Linked DNA regions of Saccharomyces cerevisiae S288C. Changing the gene in region 4 together with the main gene of any one other region gives a genetic interaction. Each region holds a gene or a part of one and is shown on either strand. Other genes may lie near its edges.

Region 1 (4,820 bases), on a different chromosome or scaffold from region 4:
TCATGACTGGTGTATAGCGAGCGATTTCATAGATCCAATAACTCAAGTACGAACGGAATATGTCCTTAGGAAGAGCCACATTTTTCTCAATTAAATGTGCACTAGGTTCGTTAAGTGTATCTAACTTGACGTCGGTACTTTCTGGAGGGGTCTGCATAGCCAATATATACCTTGTATTGCCTATGACTATAGTATTCCTGGTTGTTTCTGTGCCACTGCATACTGATCAAATGTTTCAATTACGCAGGACCCTTTTACGATTGTTTTTCATCTCTAGAGGCATTTTCAACATCGTATTTTCCGAAGCGTTGCATAATGAAAATGTGATAATAAGGCAGTGAGCTACTTTGTCACAACAAAGTACGAGAACAGATGAGGTTCCGTGGTGTTTTTGGGGCAACCGCACTATTTGGAGCGCTGTATATATTTATATCCTACTACAAAAAATCATAAATGACACTGAATTGGACACATGCTAGCGTCAAATACCTTGCCTGGTAAAGTTGTGTGCTAGTGTCTCCCGTCTTCTGTCTAAAAAAACTCATCGACACCAGGATACTCTTGTCGCCAATATTCCTTTTGAAATTGTTGTTCGATTTCGGCTGCCTTGGTGAGGAGCTTTATAAAGTTCGGTCCGGCACTAAAACTAGAAGACTCAGCGGCTTCGTTTGGTGTGCCAGCGGTTTCGTCATTTGATTGTGCGTCTTTAACATTGCTGGCTGACGATTCCTTTTGCTTCTTGAAAGTTCTTCCCTTAATAAGACTTAGAAAATAACGGTGGCAATCTTCATCACGGTAAAAGTAGTAGGGAGTATCCCATAGCCCATGATCAAATAAATACTGGTTCATCTTGTATGTAATTGTCCTCCATTCTTTCCCCTTTACCGCCGGTTTACGTGTGATAATTTCCATCAGAAGCTTAACTTTAAATTCCCGATCACCGATCGGTTCACTAAATGCAATTACAACCATGCATGTTCCTGGAAAGCAAAAGGAAAACAATAGTATCTCAAAGGCAACGCAAAATTCCGTATTATAAAAAAACACTAATAATAAAATTGAAGTCACAATAAGTACGAGCAAAATTACTGCCGCTTTATGACGAGTAACTTCATATATCCAATAACTTAAGTACGAACCGAATATGTCCTTGGGAAGAGCCACATTTTTCTCAATTAAATATGCACTGGGTTCGTCGAGAAAATCCGACTTGGCGTCGGTACTTTCTGAAGATGTTTGCATGCCCAGTTTATATCTTGTCTTCTCTATAGCTCTGCTATGGTGTTGAAGGATGTTATGCGGATCAAAATAGCGATCTGTCTTATACCAATTGAAACTTTTCATCACCTGCTTTTTACTTCGGAGGCATTTTTCATTCAATACTAAGTTCCGGAATGATACAAAATAAAAATGGTATTGAGGCGACATAAGTTGTTAGCACAGCAAAGATGGTTGCGGGTTAAGTTTTCTGATCGTTCTGGGAGAGTATTTACGTTAAAAAATAGGAATCAATTAAGCATAATCATGCCGTTTTGTGTGCTACATATCTGTTTCCCACTATATAAAGTCACGTTAGAATGCAATTTATCTAATTTACTACCCCATTTTAGCGTCAGTGGATTGGTAAATCCCTTTGCTAGCAAGGTACTGTCAGAATATTTCTCCTTCCTTTCAAATAATTGCACCAATATCTTGCCAATACTTCACTTGAGATTGTTCTACAATATCCGCTGTCTTGGAAAGCAATTTTGAAAATCTTCTCCGGGATTTAATGTGAAAGATTCGCCAGCTTCAGTCTCCTGTACATTTTCCTCAGCGTTGCTTGTTGGCTTCTCGAAAGTTCTTCCCTCAATAAAACTTAGAAAAAGACGGTGGCAATCTTCTTCGCAATAAAAGTAGTAAGGAGTACTCCATATTTTATGGTCAAATAGATATTTATTCATCTTGTACGTGATAATGTTTCATTCCCCTTTCACCGAACGCTGGCGTGTGCTTACCTCTAACGAAAGCCTAATATTAGATGCTTTATTGTCGGTCTGTCCCGGAGATGAAAAAAGAGGATAGAAGGGACATGAGATGGTATACTCGGAAATTAGTCAGTGAAATCAAAATTACAGATGCCAGGAACATAATCATTATCGGCTTACAATGAGCCCCCTCGTAACACGTAAAGTGAATAACTTAAGTACGAATTGAACATGTCTTTGGGAAGGACCACATTTCCCTCAACTAAATTGGCACCATCTCCACTCAACACATCCAGTCTAATATTTTTATTTTGTGGTTGCGATTGCATACACGATTTGAGTACTAAATTTTTGACGAATGTAATACGGACCAAACAACAGCTTTTTTATTCACTAGTTATTCTTATAACTACAACACCAAACCCTTTTTGAGATCCTTTTTTTCTTTTTCTATTGTTTGGATTTTCTTGGCTGCATTATGCGAAGCGCAACAATAGAATGTGACAAAAACTGACAGAACCCTTATTAAACAAATATGAAAACCTCTAAAAAAACTTACAAATACGATAGTTGTAGGCCATGATGTTTGTACAGCTCGAATATATGATGCTCAATTCTGGCTTCGAGATGTTCTTGAATTCGATTCTTGTTCTCGTTTTAAAGAAAAGTAAGTATACTTGGTGAATAAAATGCTTCCGCTTCAAGGTAAATCAGCGTCAGGATATTGCTTTCTCCAGTATTCACTTTGAGCCTCCTTTTCTATTTGTGTTGCCTTCAAAACATATGCCATCAAAATAGGGTCTGATCTAATACTATAAAAGTTGTTTAGACCATTTGAAGTCTTCCCTGCTGAGACAGGTGATTGTGTATCCTCGGCACTATTCGATGAGGAATCCGAGTGCGAACCAGAATTCACTTCCTTGATAAGAGTGGTGAAGAACTCATGGCACTTCTTGCCGCTATAGAAATAGTACGGGGTATACCATAGTCTCTTCATGAATAGATATTGGTTCATATTATATGCGACAGTACCCCATTCCTTCCCCGCAGGCTTGCGTGCGATCACCTCCACTAAAAGCTTTATCATGAACTCCTGTTCAGTGATCGCTTTCCCGAATGTGAATGCTGCAACCACCATTAAAGCCATGGAGGCTACTATAAGGGACATCACTAAGATCACAGTGCACCCGTCGTTATCATGAAAAAGCACAATCAATGAGATCAAACTCACGATTATGATGATCATAAACATGATCGGTTTACAATGAGCAATTTCATAAAGTACATAACTCAGATGTGAACTGAATGTGTCTTCGGGAAGAGCTACATTCTCTTCGATTAAATGTGCACTGGGTTCGTCGAGAGTATCCATCTTTACGTCGGTATTTTCTGAAGGTGTTTGCATGGTCAATTGATATCTTGCCTTAATATGGCACTTATAGATGTTATCCTGATCAAAATAGCCAGCTGTTTTATGCTTTTTTAACGTTGTTCACCATTGTATTTATTATTTTTGAGGCATTTTTCACGTATTGTTGCAACGTCCCGAAGGGATTCGATGTGATCGAAAAGCGTCCCGGCTGATCTATTGTGATGACCAGCTATCTCACGTTGGCGAGCATCAAGCCGAGGATCATAAAGCAAAATATATAATAGCATTTGCATCTAAAGTAAACTACATAAAATTTGTTTCGAGCGTACATAACTTTTACACCCAGATGGACTGACACTTAATTGCGGGCTTCGTAATGTTCTTGAAGTTAATGATGCTCGTACATTTTATATTAGAATATACTAGATAAATACCAAAAATTCGGCCCTAAGGCAAATCAACCTCTGGGTATTGCTTTCTCCAATACTCAAATTCAGCTTCTTTGTGAATTTCCGCAGCTTTAATAAGGTAAGCTTCTAAAACTGGATCAGAACTAAAGATATAAGGTTTTACCATCTCATTTGAAACCTCTTTTGCTGGTGTGTTTGACTGCGTATTCTCTGCACCGTTCGTTGGTGAACTCAAATGTGCATTCGACCTTGTCTGTTTGATAAGGCTTTTGAAAAATTTATGGCACCTATGTTCACAAAAAAAGTAATACGGAGTATGCCATATCCCATGGTCAAACAGATACTGGTTCATATTATATGCGATTATTCTCCATTCCTTCCCCCCTACTGCTGGTTTACGTGTAATGACTTCTACTAAAAGCTTAATTATGAAACCCTTATTCAAGGTCTCAGACACGAAGGCAGTTATACCGATCAATAAAATGATAATAGAGAGGATAAGAGAAATCACTAAAAACACAAGGATACCTTTGATATCATGAAAAAACGTAATCAATAAAACCAAACACACAGGTATTAGGAACATAATCATTAGCGGTTTACAACGAGCGATTTCATTAAGTATATAACTCCAGTACGAATTGAATGTATCCTCTGGAAGAGCCACATTTTCCTCGATTAAATGTGCACTGGGTTCGTCGAGAGTATCCAACTTGACGTCGGTATTTTCTGAAGGGGTTTGCATGTTGAATTGATATCTTGTCTTGTGTAAGGTTATTATATGGTTTTGGAGGTTGTTATGCTGATTCGAATTACGACTTGATCATGATACTAATTGAGCTTTGACGAAATATTTTAGCAATTCAGAACCCCTTTCATATTCTTTTTTTTTTTCATTTTTAGAGGCGTTTTTTCACTGATAGGTACAGCCTCCGAAATAATATATAGTGAAGATATAATAATAATAGTGCGAGCCTTTTACAGGGCCATTATGATCATGAGTGAGATCCAGAAAAGCACATTGCATGGCAGTCGGATGTTGAGAATTGGGGGAATTTTGAGATAATTGTT
Region 2 (6,452 bases), on a different chromosome or scaffold from region 4:
AGTAAATGTAGATGCAGTAGTGTAGGAAGATTCAAATGGTGCGTGTGATGCAGTGGTGTATGGATTAGAATTGAAGTGACAGTTTAAATGAGTATCTGATAGTTGCGGTCTAAGCTGGTATGTGTTCAGTCTTGGTAAAGACGGAGGAATCAAATTGTTTATTGTCACCGGCCTTGCAATATGTGGGCCCGCAGTATTTGGAACATCCTCACACAATGCTCCTATATTAACAGAATTTCTTCTTCCAGAAAGATCTGTAAGTGAGCCAGTTCTGCTCTCATAACCAGGCTCTTCAAGTGTTGCAATCTTTGGGAGCTGAATTTGCGGTAGAGTCACATTCGAAGCAACTACCGAAATTGTATGCAAATCAGCCTTGTTCTCCTCTTTAATAAACCCTACAGGAGGGCTTGGCACGAAAGCGGTATCCGTCATTTTTTTTGGCTTTGTACTGTCTCTTGTCATTGAATGGGAAGCTAAAATAGGTTGAAAATTAAAAGGATGATTGTCCATTTTTATTTGCATTAACATTTGAGTAGGTTTTTGGTTTTCCTTCTTGTTCCAAGCTGTTATTCTATATCTATGATGAGATTAACGGCTGCAAAAAGTCGTAGTTAATCAGTAAAATTATCTAATGAATTATTTGTAAGCAGAATGCGTGAGAAAAAATAAATCACCCAGTTCCTTTTTTATATACATGAACTTTGGTAATGATGCAGACATCAACTAGTTCTCGAGTGAGGAGGTATCCTTATCAAATCACTCTCTCCCTAGTATTGAAAGGGTTTTACTCGCCTTCTGCTCCTAGTTACGATTTTTGCCTAGTACTCCTTCCTACCCTCTTCCTCATAGATTTAATGCCAATAAAATTTTCTTTGCATGTCACCATTGGGATCGGTGAGGCAACTCCGGTTCCGATTTTTTTTTTTTCAGCGCCGTGGTATTTCCGCTCGGGAAATCCCCTCCCGCATTGCGTCAGAGCTTATCGATGTAAAGTTAATTTCCCTTTTTTTCGGTTGGGCTGGAGCACTTGGTTGCATTACTAACAAATTAACGAACAATAGTTTTAAAAGCAAGTGCCTTAAGATTTAGGTCATTCCTTCGAGGATTTCTGGGAACAATTTAAAGAATAACAGAAACTTTTGCGGCCCTTTTCATCATCTACGTGTTTTGTAAGAATGAGATCACATTCCACGTAGCCCTAAACATTGGCGTACATTTCCACTCGGAACCTTTTCTCGACCCCTCTCCGTACGCCAAGTTTTACCTTGAGGAGTAAGTCGTCAAAGGGGCGTGGGGCAGCCATTTCTTAGGAGGTGGGAAGACATGGCAGTGAGTGGGCCCTATGATTGCTGCTGCAGGGGACTTTTCAGGATAATCATGTAAACGATAAAACGGAAAAACAAAACTACGGACGTTGTTACCTTTCCATTTTGAAATGTTTCTCCGAAAAAATACCATTTTGCACAGTTCAACATTCTTGATGGCAAAAGCGAAGCATTGCGTCAACGGGTTAGATAAGTCATTTACTGTCAATTAGTACCAATACCTGTCTTTGCTCACCGAATGGCACTATACAGTGACGTTAAGATCTTGTAGTTGTTTTTCAAGAAGGCACTAAATAAGGTAATATATGGTGCCTTTCGCAATGACTCGTGTATCTGGCAGATCTATAGCTGCACACCTGATTTTTTTGCTATATTTGAATCAGGAGTAAGTTTGAACCATAATCATTCCAATTCAGTTTGATAGTACCTTTTTTTTAAAATTTTTGAAAGAGCTATCGCTTAGCTATCGGCGGGCATATTGAATTGCGCAGTAGATGAACATTTCACTAGTTGTGGCCAAAGAAGTTAGTTAAAAAGTGTAAATATGTCACAGTACTTATCCTTCTCTAAAGAATTAGTTTATTAAAAGCAGCAACAAGAAGAATGACTGTCAACCATTTTTAGGTCATTGCAACAAATCTCAAAATACGCTTTTATAGATAATCTAAGAAGATCGTTATATGGGAATACTAACAGTGAGAAAATGGAAGAAACGGGTTAGCGTAGAAAATTGTAATTAAAAAACAACAGTTTTAAGAAGGTGGTGGGCAATTAATACTTGAGGATTAATACTTAGAGCTTATTCAAAAAGAAAAGATAGAATTTCATGTAATACATGAGAACAATGTAAGGTTTTTAAGGTAACGAGTAACTAAGTTTTGAAATATCTTCACTAGCCTTGCAATCATCTTTTAGCTTTTCTATTTGCCGGATTCTTTACAACATAATCACGCTTTCTTCTAGTTGTAATTTTCCTTCTAGATGTCATTATTTCAACCGATGTCATTAATATCCTTTTATGGTGTTTACAAAAAGAAAGTTTCAAGTACCGCTCACCTACACTACGTTGTAATTCTTAGATACATAACTTTAGTTTTGTCGCCTATGTGCACAGATAAACAAAACAACCTATAAAATTTCCGTTGGGCCCTTTTGTCCCTGATTTCTGGTGTGTAACCCATTTATTTCTGTCCTGTAATAATTCGTCTTCGGTGATTGCCATATATACACAGTTTAGCTTTACTAACTATAAACATCCGAGAAGAAGAAAAAAGAAGGTCTGATTTCTATCAAACAACATGTGAAGATAACACAATCGATGTGATTGATATCAGATTTACTAGCCCCGTTGGATTGAAAAATCTGCAAGGAAGGGCTAAAGAGCAATATACTTTCTTTTGTTGTTTCGGGGTGATGAGAAAATTGTAACTTTTTTTTTTAACTTGGCGAGAAAATTGACTGGAAGAAGTGTCAAAGATAAGGCTTCTATCATATTCAAAACAAGTACCACCAAATGGCAGCTCAACTCCGAAGGCTCAAAAACAATACTTATTGATATTGCACTCACAAGCATTTTTTGTTGCGGAACGTCTTTACGTGCAAGATTAATGATCATAAGATTGCATTTTTACTACCTCCTCACTTTAGTTTACCATTTAGGACTTGTAGGTGCGTATGAAAAAGCAGCAAGAAAGAGAATTCAACCTCCCGATTTGATACCTGGTCCTCCGGGACATAAACTTGGTGATGAAAGACCACCGCATTACGACCACCGGCCACCTTATAAAAAACACATCGACAACATTCCAGCTTACAATCTGACTGATTTGATAGATGATAAACTACTAAATAAATATGAAAACTCATGCACGGTAAATGTATTGACAGGTGGCTTCATCTCTCTAGCAAGTAATTCGTGGCACTTACGTGCTTATAATTACACTTTAAATTACCCATCCTTTTTGATCCGATGCGATAATGGCAGTGCAAATCCTAATTTCTCTCATGTCTTACAAGACTTTGTTTATGACATCAACAACAAATTCAACGTTCAAGATGACAGTAGTAAATACATCGGAAAAGACCCATTTCCCTTAGGAATGATAATGATCACCTTTGCTTCTGGGTGTATCTGTGTGGCAACATGGATGCTATTTTTGGTTGTCTTATTACTGCCATCCGATAATCATAATAGAAGAAATAAAGTTGTACATGTTTACGTCCTTTTCTCTGCGATTATAAGAACTGTATTTCTAAACGAGACTATAGCCGTCATATTTGACAGCCAATATCACGATGACTACCAGGATGCGAGCCAATTTGAATCGTTCATCGTAGAAACTGCACCATATAAAATATGTGAATTAGTTGCAAATATTTTGAGTGATATAAACTGGATTTATATTGTTCACTACTTACAGTCCAATTATGGAAAACCAACTTGGAATTGGATCCCATTTAAAATGAAAAAGGGGACACATATCATAATTACCGTGGGTTGCTTCCTCTCACTAGCCGATAACATTTTATTCGCAAACCTTCTTTGGAGAAAGAACCTTGTAGTTTTGAAGGTATTTTACAAGCTAATCGAATTACTGATTTACACAATTTTCATCTCCATTATTTGTTACTTCACATGGCATAATTTTGCTTACATACTTTTACCGAAAACTGCTGAAATTAATACGGACGGTAAGTGTAAAACGAAATTGAGAATTCTTTGGGAAAATTATCACGAAACTATACCATTATTGGCGTATAATATTCTTATATTTATTTTATTCTATTTCACCACAATTTTTTTCGCTGCTTTCACCAAACATGTTAGAGGTTGGACATTTAACTTTGTTCATCTTTTGAAAGTTTTAATAACAGTGAACGTTTGGGGCTTAATTGGAGTATTGGAAAAGAGGGAGCTGCACATAAGCAAAAAAACAGTCCTTGGACGAAAAATTAACAATAGGGACAAATTTTTCGCCAATCCAACAGTCAATTATTACGGAGAAGATTTAGGCAAGCATTTAAGCGCCATAACGTTAAACAGGGATTTAAACACTACTAAAAGTAACACTACTTCCCACGATTCATCAAGTTTAGTAGGATCCCCTTCACCCACCTGGAAATCTCCAATCGAAAGAATAAGGGACAGAAGAAGAAGACATAAGATAATGAAAAGTGAGAATAAATTTGGGCAAAATCCCAGTTTTGGAAGTAAATCGAATGGCAAACCTAATACTAAAACGACATTATCCAAATATCGACAGCTATTAAGGAAGCCTAGGCGAAAAACCAATTCATATGAACCAAAAAATGGCATTGGACAGAATAAAGAAGGCTCAACTGTTAGACCAGGAGCCGACAAACATATTAGAGATTCCAATTATCTAGCTACAGACATCAGTGACAACGAAAGTATGGAAACCGAACTTCGAACCAACCACATTTATAATTACGAAAATAGTGATTAAGGCAGGCCCAGTGGACGAAAAGACATAACTGCAGAAGTACAGCTGCCTTTATTTCTTGTGGTCATTTATTGCTTTTATTTTCAAGTCAGATATACAAGAAAATCAAATCCCATCGTCAACGTCACGTATAAACGATTAATTTACAGTAATACCATACTCTACCAACATTATTTTAGTCCGACGTTCAGTCCTGTAGGTGTTCCAAATCCTTCTGGCATTGACTTCTGTGCAGAAACCCTTCAAAATGAGTTCCACTTTACGTCAGATCGCATAACAACCGGTCATATATTTTTTTCTTTTGCTAAACCCCCTACTGCAAGCACTTTTAAGAAAAAGAACAATAAATGCGTCTTTATTGCTGTGTGGAAGTGATTTTTGTCTTTCGGACAAAAAAAGGATAGGGATGCGAGAGGGCTGTGAAGTAGTGATCAAGCGGGGCCTATATAAGAAGGGCGCACATCGTCCCCCCTAAGAATAGCGAAGCGATATTACACTGAACACTACAATGTCAAATAGTACTCAATAAATATGACTGTAAAAATATGTGACTGTTAAGGCGAATGTTGTAAGGACTCTTGTCATTGTGGGAGCACCTGCCTTCCAAGCTGTTCTGGCGGTGAAAAGTGCAAATGTGATCACAGCACCGGAAGCCCTCAATGTAAGAGTTGTGGTGAAAAATGCAAATGCGAAACCACGTGCACTTGTGAAAAGAGTAAATGCAATTGTGAAAAATGTTAGGTGACCCCTACTCTTTACTTATCATAAATACATCATCATATTTTACCCTTAATTAACAACATTTATTTAACTGCATGAACTAAATATAAGGTATAGTTTCTTTTTCCCGGAATCTTTTTTTTAGATCGTTATTATTTAGACGGCACTAAGAGAAATAAATTAAACTAAATTACGGTGCGGAGCTCAAGGCATCTGCGAGTGTTTACTAACACTAAAAGAGATGAATAAAATAGATTTCTCAATGCAAAATTAAAATTACAATGTTACGCATACACACAAGTACAGATTTGTATATAGTATTTCTTCTTCGTTTTATCTGTCGTGTTGAAACATTTTGTTGTTCAAGTATTAAAAGTCTCCTGCGTTGTTAAAATCCATATCATGTGAATTGTTGGTGCCGCTCATGAGGCCGTTTTGATGTGGAATATTATATTGAATGTTATGCAATGGTTGTTGTTGTCGTGGCTGCCGCTGCCGTTGGCGTTGGCAGCTTCTGGTTTGCTTTTGTACTTGTTCACTACTACTGTTGTCACTCAACGGTTGAGATGGCTCGGTAAGATGGACGAAAGAATCCCGTGTGTCATTTGATAAATGTTGATTAGCCAAGCTTAGCTGTAGGCACTTTCTTTCTAAATGACAAATATATTCAATAGATTTCGTTAAAATGGACGCCTTATTCAATTTTGTTGCTGGCTCTAGGCCATCTAAGTCTGCTAGGTCTCTAGATGTAATGGGAAGATCGTTACATTTTTTATACGCTACTCGTAGCGTTGGGACAGTTCTCCTTAATTGTTCAATTTTATCATTAATATTGGAACGGTATTTCTTTTCAATTATATTGTGTGATACCCTTCCTGTCCTCACCCTTGTTATTCTTTTGGGTTTAACATGAAAATGTTTCCGTATAGGTGAAGTTTTTAAC
Region 3 (3,705 bases), on a different chromosome or scaffold from region 4:
TCATCTATTTTCATGGAGCGGAACTTAGCAAACGAGAAATAAACAAAAATGATTAGGAATGTATTCATGTTGAAAAGGTTATGAGATATGCAAGACCATTCGTTTTGATTTGCAATTAGTGAGAACAATTTAAACACCTTGGTGCGAAATTGAAGGTTTTTTTTTCCAAAGAAGTGTACAGCCCACACTAACAACTGCTAACTCAGATAAAAATAACAGAAACAAAAAAAAGGTAGGGAAGGCCCATCACACGGAAAATGAGTATAACAAGTGAAGAACTAAACTACTTGATATGGAGGTATTGTCAAGAGATGGGACACGAGGTGAGTGCATTAGCATTGCAGGATGAAACAAGAGTATTGGAATTTGATGAGAAGTATAAAGAACACATTCCTTTGGGTACACTGGTGAATCTAGTACAAAGGGGAATCTTGTATACAGAAAGTGAGTTAATGGTTGATAGTAAAGGTGATATCAGCGCTTTAAATGAACATCATCTTTCTGAAGATTTCAATTTGGTTCAGGCGCTGCAAATAGATAAAGAAAAATTTCCTGAGATCTCTTCTGAAGGAAGGTTCACTTTGGAAACCAATTCCGAGAGTAATAAAGCAGGTGAAGATGGCGCTAGTACTGTTGAAAGAGAAACCCAAGAGGACGATACTAATTCTATTGACAGTAGTGATGACCTAGACGGATTTGTCAAAATACTGAAGGAGATAGTAAAATTAGATAATATTGTTTCCTCCACTTGGAATCCATTGGATGAATCTATACTCGCATACGGTGAAAAAAATTCTGTTGCAAGACTAGCGAGGATAGTAGAAACCGATCAAGAAGGGAAAAAATACTGGAAACTCACGATAATAGCGGAGTTGAGACATCCTTTTGCTCTGAGTGCAAGTAGTGGTAAAACGACGAATCAAGTCACATGTCTTGCTTGGTCACACGATGGTAATTCAATTGTCACGGGTGTAGAAAATGGTGAGCTAAGACTATGGAATAAGACGGGGGCACTTCTGAATGTTTTAAATTTTCATAGAGCACCTATAGTATCCGTTAAATGGAACAAAGATGGAACACATATCATATCCATGGACGTGGAAAATGTCACTATACTCTGGAATGTTATAAGCGGGACCGTCATGCAGCACTTTGAATTAAAAGAAACCGGTGGCTCATCCATCAACGCAGAGAACCATAGTGGCGATGGTTCACTTGGGGTTGACGTTGAATGGGTAGACGATGACAAATTTGTCATTCCTGGCCCTAAAGGTGCTATATTTGTATACCAAATTACAGAAAAAACGCCCACTGGTAAACTTATTGGACACCATGGACCTATCAGCGTTTTGGAGTTCAATGACACCAATAAACTTCTACTTAGTGCCTCAGACGATGGTACTCTAAGAATATGGCATGGCGGTAACGGCAATTCTCAGAATTGCTTCTACGGACACTCACAAAGCATAGTATCGGCATCATGGGTCGGTGATGATAAGGTAATATCCTGCTCGATGGATGGCTCCGTTCGCCTATGGTCGCTGAAGCAGAATACGCTATTGGCTCTATCAATCGTGGATGGTGTCCCAATTTTTGCTGGAAGAATATCACAAGATGGACAGAAGTACGCAGTTGCTTTCATGGATGGGCAGGTAAACGTCTACGATTTAAAAAAACTGAACAGCAAGTCACGAAGTCTTTATGGTAACCGTGATGGGATTTTGAATCCATTACCAATTCCCCTCTACGCTAGCTACCAAAGCAGCCAAGACAATGATTATATATTTGATCTGTCATGGAACTGTGCGGGAAACAAGATTTCTGTAGCATACTCGCTTCAAGAAGGTTCAGTTGTAGCCATATAATAACTAGGTACAGTACATAAACAGATGAATTTTATCATTCTTATTGTTATTTCTTTGTTTACAAAAGGTGAAAAGTGAAAAATTTCGCAATGGAAAACGTCGCGGGCCGCCTTTGAGTGACGTTGTGCAGGAATCTCGAAGAGTCATCACTTTGAAGATAACGGCCGCTCGCGATGAGAGAAGACAATGAGCATTGCTTTTTTATAATTTTTTATACCTTGTGTTAAAATAAGTTTCTTTAATTAGTTTTCACCTCTTGGATGATACAACTGTAATTGATAAATAGGGGTAGCCATAAAGAACAGAAAAAAGCGGCGCAATAATTTCGTGTATTACAATTACAGTTAGTCATGAGTGAAGAATTTCCTACGCCGCAGCTTTTGGATGAATTGGAAGATCAACAGAAAGTTACCACGCCGAATGAGAAGAGAGAGTTAAGTTCTAATCGTGTGTTGAAGGATATTTTTGCGGGTACCATCGGTGGTATTGCACAAGTTCTTGTAGGGCAACCGTTTGATACAACAAAAGTTAGGCTTCAAACAGCCACCACAAGAACAACAACGTTGGAGGTATTGCGTAACTTGGTAAAGAATGAGGGTGTGTTTGCATTCTACAAAGGTGCGTTAACACCGTTATTGGGTGTTGGTATATGTGTCTCAGTACAATTTGGTGTGAATGAGGCGATGAAAAGATTTTTCCAAAATTACAACGCTTCTAAGAACCCGAATATGAGCTCACAGGACGTAGATCTTTCACGTTCAAATACTCTGCCACTATCCCAGTACTACGTTTGTGGGTTGACAGGTGGTGTAGTCAATTCATTCTTGGCATCGCCCATTGAACAAATAAGAATTCGTTTGCAGACGCAAACATCTAATGGTGGAGACAGAGAATTCAAAGGTCCTTGGGACTGTATTAAAAAATTGAAAGCTCAAGGTGGATTGATGAGGGGTTTATTTCCCACAATGATAAGAGCCGGACATGGGCTTGGTACATATTTTCTTGTCTACGAAGCATTGGTTGCCAGAGAAATTGGTACGGGACTAACAAGAAACGAAATTCCTCCTTGGAAATTATGCTTATTTGGTGCATTTTCCGGGACAATGTTGTGGTTGACAGTATACCCATTGGACGTTGTGAAATCCATTATACAAAACGATGATTTACGAAAACCTAAATACAAGAATTCCATTTCTTACGTAGCAAAGACCATTTATGCAAAAGAAGGTATCAGAGCCTTTTTCAAAGGGTTTGGGCCAACAATGGTTAGGTCCGCGCCCGTTAATGGTGCGACATTCCTGACGTTTGAATTAGTCATGAGATTTCTGGGGGAAGAGTAGGAGAGTATATATGAAAACATCGTTTTATAGATATAGACATAGACATGCTGTTATCATACCAAATAGAAAAGTGTACAGTCTTTTAGTGATTATCATCTATGTGGTGTCAAACTAAGAAATTATATCGATCGTTACAGAATATATGATGAGGGAATATGCATAAAAAAAAATCTAAAGTTAGTGAAGAGAAAAGGGTATGCAGGTAAAAACGAATATATCACACATCAAGCAAACTCAAAAGAACAATCACTGGACTCGACTTTATTTTTCAAAGATGGTACTAATTCCAGCTGTTGGAACTTTTCAGCATCTTGATGATAGTAAAACCCTTGAATGTTCCCGGTAACTTGATCATGGACAATGTAATAAAACCCATCATAAGATGCGCCGTCTACACCTTCCATTAATAGGGCATCTGGTACCAAAAATTTTTCCTTCCATTTCATAAATATAAACCGTTCGTTCAAGTAGTTGTCAAATTGTTTCTCTTGGCTAAAAAT
Region 4 (5,450 bases):
TGTGCCTGATTCACCAATGATACCTAACGTCTGTCCGCAAAACATGTCAAAATTCATGTTTTTGTAAACAAAGGCGGTAGGTGCAGATGGATAGGCAAATGTCAAATTTTGAATTGAAACGATTGGTTTTTTTTCTTTGCCATGGTAGGTGTGACCAGCTATTCCCACTGTTCTAGCATTATTGTTTTCAACCTCTAGGGTATTATGCTTTTCATCAAGAATCCTATAGATCCAACTGGCAGCACGTTGGCCTCTACTTATATCGGGTATCTGACTTACTAGGCTAGTGCATGACATAATAGTGAATAATAACAAAGTGAAAGTCGTAAACATTTCCTTTGAGGTGTACTCGTGAATCATAACCAGCTTTAGGCCATAGTAGTAAATAATAGCTTGGATACACATGACAATCATGTTTGTCATAGATATACCAAATCCTGTGGCAATGGCGCGTTTGGAGGCAATTTGTTGCATTTTTATCTTCAAGTCATGGTAGGTCAATTGAAAATGAAATTCAGCTTGTAAGCACTTAATGGTTTTAATGTTAGTGACAATCTGGTACAGGCAGTTTTCTAACTGAGCAACAGATGTCTTATAATCTGTTTCGCATTTTTGTAAAATGCCTCCATATATTGCTGAAAATATAATTATGAGTGGAAACATCGAAATACAAACCAAACTTAACTTCCAGCCCGATACTAACGCCCAAATTAGTCCAATCGTTGATACGGTAACGAAACTAGTCATTGCACTCAAAAATTCAGAGACCAAAGACCTCAAATCTCGCAAATCATTCAAGACTAGAGCAGAAATTTCAGAAGCCTTGTTGTTTTCACCAGAAAACCAGTCCATATTCTTTCTCGTCAGTTTTTCCATAACTTCATTTCTAAGATCCATAACCCAGTATTCACTGCAGCAATCTAATAGGAATCCTTTAGCAAAATTGAAAATACCATCTGCCGCAGCCACACCAAGAACAAGAAGCGACCATTTCGCCAAATAATGTGAAGAGCCAGTTTTTCCATCCGTGGATGGGACAATTCCTTCTAGTAAGAAACTGAATGTGTATGAAAAGACGGGATTTGTGGCGCCTGCGATAAGAGAACATAGCAGTCCCAAGATTAGAATTTTTTTGTATCTTATGCTTTTAATCATTCTTTTGATAATCTGAATAATGCTCAGAAGTTGTGGCCCTGTTGAACTTTCGGTGTTCTTTTGTTGTTTTAGTGCATACCCAATATTTTCCTCTTCAACTTTAACCCTTCTTGTTCTAACGTTCGATCTTTTTTGATAGATTGCTTCGTAAAAGGACAACTGATCTGTCTCATCATATCCCAGATTACTTAAGCATGATCCAAGTTTTGGTGTTTCCAATTGAGAGTTAAAACTTTCCACAGTGTGTATAGATTTTTCTTCAGTCTCTGTATCTACAATAGTTTTCGCATCAGAGTAGTCATTCTGTAGGTGATACCATGTGCTAAATGTAGTGGTCGGATCGGCTAGAAGTTCAGACTGGGTGCCGCTTTCAACAACTTCACCTTCCTTCATTAAATATAAATAGTCATCAGATTCAATTTGGCTCAACTCATGCGTCAATATGATTGTAGTCTTTCCTTTCCTCCAATGCCTAATTGCCTTCATCAACAGGTTGCGATGAACAATATCTAGAGCCGATACAGCTTCGTCTAAGAATAATATTGGAGTATCTCTGATGAATGCACGTGCTATAGCAACTCTTTGTTGTTGCCCGCCACTTAGTGTGACACCCCCAGTCCCAATTAATGTTTCCAGTCCATCGGGAAGGTCTAGAATAAATCTATCCAGAAGAGCCATTTGACAGGCATCTTTGATTAAATGTCTATTTTCATTGGTGCTGCAATCGGCATTTCTTACCGAATCTGTTGAACCTAAAAGAATATTTTTTCTAAGAGTATCATTAAATAGGGTACAACGCTGTTCTACGACGGTGATATTTTCAATTAGCAATTTTTGGTCGATTGTTTGGATATTGTGGCCATTGATAGATATCGATCCATTATAGCCATCGTAGAACCTTAATAATAAGTTGGATAATGTAGATTTACCTGAGCCTGATTTTCCTACTATGAAAGTAAATTGTCCTGCAGAGAAATTTAAACTAACGTTCTTTAAAACTGCTTCCGAAGGTCTGCTTGGATAAGAAAACGAAACATTAGCAAATGTTAGATCACTGGTGGCATAATCTAGTGGAAATTGGTGGGCTACAGTTTTATTTAAAGGATTTCGCTTGGATCCATCTTTTAATAGAGTCATGATTTTTTCCATAGCCACTCCGCCTTTTTGAAGAACAACTATTTGGTGTAATGTATTATTTAAAGTCGAGCCCAGCATAATGCATGAATGGAAGCAAGTGATTACATCGTTAATGTTCAGCTTGCCCTTTTTGATCATTGCGGAACCAAACCAGAATCCCTGTACAAACATAGTCAACGTCAAAAATCTCAAGATCCCAGCGTTTGCAGCAACAAAAAAGCAACTCTTGATGAAGAAAGTGTTACAATTTAGTATGATTTCCTTGAATTTTTTCCTTTCTAGACGTTGTGTACAATATAATCTCACTAATTGAGCGGCATTCATCGACCATGTAAGTAATTGGGCTGCTTTACTCGTTTCAGAATTCTCCTTCTCTGAATATACATGAATCATTCTGGAAAACACCACTGCAAAAAATGTGATTATTGGAGAGCTGCAAAGAATAATTAAAGTTAATGACCAAGAATAGTAGAATGACGTCCCCAGAAGCGCACATATTGCAACTAAATTCTGGAAAGTTATGGCTGATGCCTCTGCGGAGCTTGATCTTAGCTCTTCCACACATCTGTTGATTTGAGTAAAATCTCCTAACAATTTTTCATTATTGTCGTACCATTCCATTGGCTTTTCCTCCAAATATGCCTCCAATATCTGTGACCGTATTCTAAAGCCTTGTCTCTCGCCGATGTGCATCCAACTTGTTAGAGAAAGCCACATTACTGGCACAGAAGCCGCACCAAGTGCCATTACTGCCATTGACCTCTGTACTAGTTGGGAATACAAACCTTGATGTGACCCATTAGCCACGAAAACTGATAGTAGATCGAACACTCTGCCCGTCAGGATAGAAGTAATTGCCGGCACTAGGCCTGTTGCCACGGTACCTATTATCATTATCATTAACAGCCTGTAGTCATTCCGTATGTTCACGTACCTGAAAATGTGATAGTGTTTTGTAGTCTTAAAACTTAAAAAGTTCATGACGTAGCTTGTTCTTTGTTTCCTAGTGGAATTTTCAGCGGCACTTGAAAGCTCTCTGTGTGAACGTAACAACGGGAGATAGTTCAGCCATATCCAGGTTTATAAGCTCTGGTATTTAAATGATGAACGGCAATAATGCAACAGTTTTCATATCTGAAACAATTGTATATGTGCGAAGCAGCGTGTAAATTTCCCTATTAGGTAATTACATGGCAAAAAAAATAAGAAACTATTTTCTTAAAGTACCTTTACCCTTTGTGGAAAACAATAAATTGTATAGTGGCAGAATAGAGAAAAGAAAAAGGAAAGGAACATATTTGTCAGTGCAAGGACCATCATTGTTTGAAAAAAGAGAGGATATTACTAGTAGGTAATAACAGCTATGTCGCGTTATATATATTATATATAAAAATTAAAAAATAGAAAATAAAATTTCAAATGCCCTCTGTGGGAATTGAACCCACGATCCCCGCATTACGAGTGCGATGCCTTACCACTTGGCCAAAAGGGCTGAGTAATTTTTATACCTGCTAAATTTGTGGCTCCGCTATACTTTACAGATTTATCTATTTTGAAGATGATACATTTAGCAAAAATGACCTTAAAAATGAAGCAGGTGCCATTTGCCTATAGCTTGGAAAAGTAGTAATGGTTATTCAAAAAGTTAGCAGCGAGATCTTTTTTCTATCGCGCGTTAAAACGTTTGAACAGATATATATTATTCAGCCACAACTATCTATATATAATATTTCTTCGATTTTTCGTTTTCTCAAGTTTCGTCTTATTGATTGATCAGAAGTTTACTGCGCTTTTGGGTAAAGAAGCATTAAACAAAGGAGAGAGAAATATTGCAAGGAAAAAATGGTGAGCTATGGAAGTCATAGTAGTGAGGTTTCGAAAGTTCTTAAAACGCCGAAGTTTGTGCTTAGGTATGGAAATGTATCCAGCAAACAACGTTTTGCCCTAAAGCGGAAGATAAATTACAAACTACGTGAAAGCAAATATCAAGAATACTTGAATGAATACAACACCTTCGTGCTTTACGACTGGGAAAACAGTGGCGCTGGTAGTCTTGTCGATTCTTCCTACAATCTCCCCTCTTTATGGAAGGAATTCATAACAGAGGGCATATCTAAAGGAGCAATAAACGACAAACTACCGACAGTCTTTATGAAGAGGAAGTTGACAAACTCAGCGTTGGGTCACTGTTTGGGACTTGATTTCCTGACTGATCCGAGCGAGTCAGAACATGAATACAGGTGCATGTTTCAGACAGTTCAGGACATCCCATCTCTCTCGCAACTGATCTTATTCAACAGCATGCCAAACGTTCCAGTAAGATTGAAATTGCATACCATTGGTATAAATATAAATTTCGGCTGCAAACGTTCCCTGATAAGCAACGGTGGTGATCAAGACACTGAAATGAGCGAAGCAGTCTCTTATATCCAGCCTTTATTGGAAGAATCCTCGAGAATGTACCGCAATTTAAACTACTGGAAGCTGTTAAAAATAGCACGAAATAACAAGAAGGATGAACCGTTGGATCAGAGCACGCGTATCAAGTCGCAAGTTAAGCTTTTACTGAGTCAATTGGCGACGAACCGAATTACCTCACCTTCCGTCACGGATCATGGGGGTCACAACTGGCTCATATTCACCAGAAGACGGTTGTAAACGATAAATATGCCATAAAGATCTGCGAACTGTACATATCCATATATAATGCGTATTATTTGGTGACTATAGCACTGGCTTCCGCCATCTCACTAAGAACGAAGAGGTATAATAAAGCATTGTGATGTTAAAGAATGACGATTAACCAGCATTTACAACAACTTCTCTTCAACAGAATAGACAAAACAACAAGCAGTATTCAACAAGCTAGGGCGCCGCAGATGTTATTAGATGACCAGCTGAAGTATTGGGTCCTGTTACCTATTTCGATTGTCATGGTTTTGACGGGTGTACTCAAACAGTACATCATGACACTTATAACGGGAAGCAGTGCAAATGAAGCACAACCAAGGGTAAAGTTAACTGAATGGCAATATCTACAATGGGCACAATTATTGATTGGAAACGGTGGGAACCTGTCTTCCGATGCATTTGCTGCGAAGAAGGAATTTCTAGTTAAGGATCTCACTGAGGAAAGGCACCTAGCCAAGGCCAAGCAG

The links.
Region 1: mutations in CBT1 (region 4) and DFP2 together harm fitness more than expected from each alone (negative genetic interaction), as found in Saccharomyces cerevisiae (2 studies listed by BioGRID).
Region 2: mutations in CBT1 (region 4) and DFG16 together harm fitness more than expected from each alone (negative genetic interaction), as found in Saccharomyces cerevisiae (2 studies listed by BioGRID).
Region 3: mutations in CBT1 (region 4) and YMC2 together harm fitness more than expected from each alone (negative genetic interaction), as found in Saccharomyces cerevisiae (2 studies listed by BioGRID).

Annotation. Positions count from the first base shown.
Region 1 is NC_001133.9:183,444-188,263, reverse strand, and holds DFP2 (DUP240 family protein), read right to left. Parts: upstream 1,944-4,820; coding exon 1,719-1,943; downstream 1-1,718. Other genes in the region: DUP240 family protein MST28, read right to left, coding at 1-157; pheromone-regulated DUP240 family protein PRM9, read right to left, coding at 532-1,428; KTD1 (DUP240 family protein), read right to left, coding at 2,668-3,372; DUP240 family protein UIP3, read right to left, coding at 3,787-4,494.
Region 2 is NC_001147.6:383,893-390,344, forward strand, and holds DFG16 (Dfg16p), read left to right. Parts: upstream 1-2,932; coding exon 2,933-4,792; downstream 4,793-6,452. Other genes in the region: CIN5 (Cin5p), read right to left, coding at 1-528; YOR029W (uncharacterized protein), read left to right, coding at 708-1,043; HMS1 (Hms1p), read right to left, coding at 5,879-6,452. UniProt on the Saccharomyces cerevisiae protein: Involved in invasion during filamentous growth.
Region 3 is NC_001134.8:447,452-451,156, forward strand, and holds YMC2 (organic acid transporter), read left to right. Parts: upstream 1-2,215; coding exon 2,216-3,205; downstream 3,206-3,705. Other genes in the region: SIF2 (Sif2p), read left to right, coding at 258-1,865; glucose-induced degradation complex subunit VID24, read right to left, coding at 3,430-3,705.
Region 4 is NC_001143.9:43,023-48,472, forward strand, and holds CBT1 (Cbt1p), read left to right. Parts: upstream 1-4,134; coding exon 4,135-4,950; downstream 4,951-5,450. Other genes in the region: ATP-binding cassette a-factor transporter STE6, read right to left, coding at 1-3,273; ER membrane complex subunit EMC3, read left to right, coding at 5,172-5,450. UniProt on the Saccharomyces cerevisiae protein: Involved in 5'-end processing of mitochondrial COB, 15S rRNA, and RPM1 transcript. May also have a role in 3'-end processing of the COB pre-mRNA.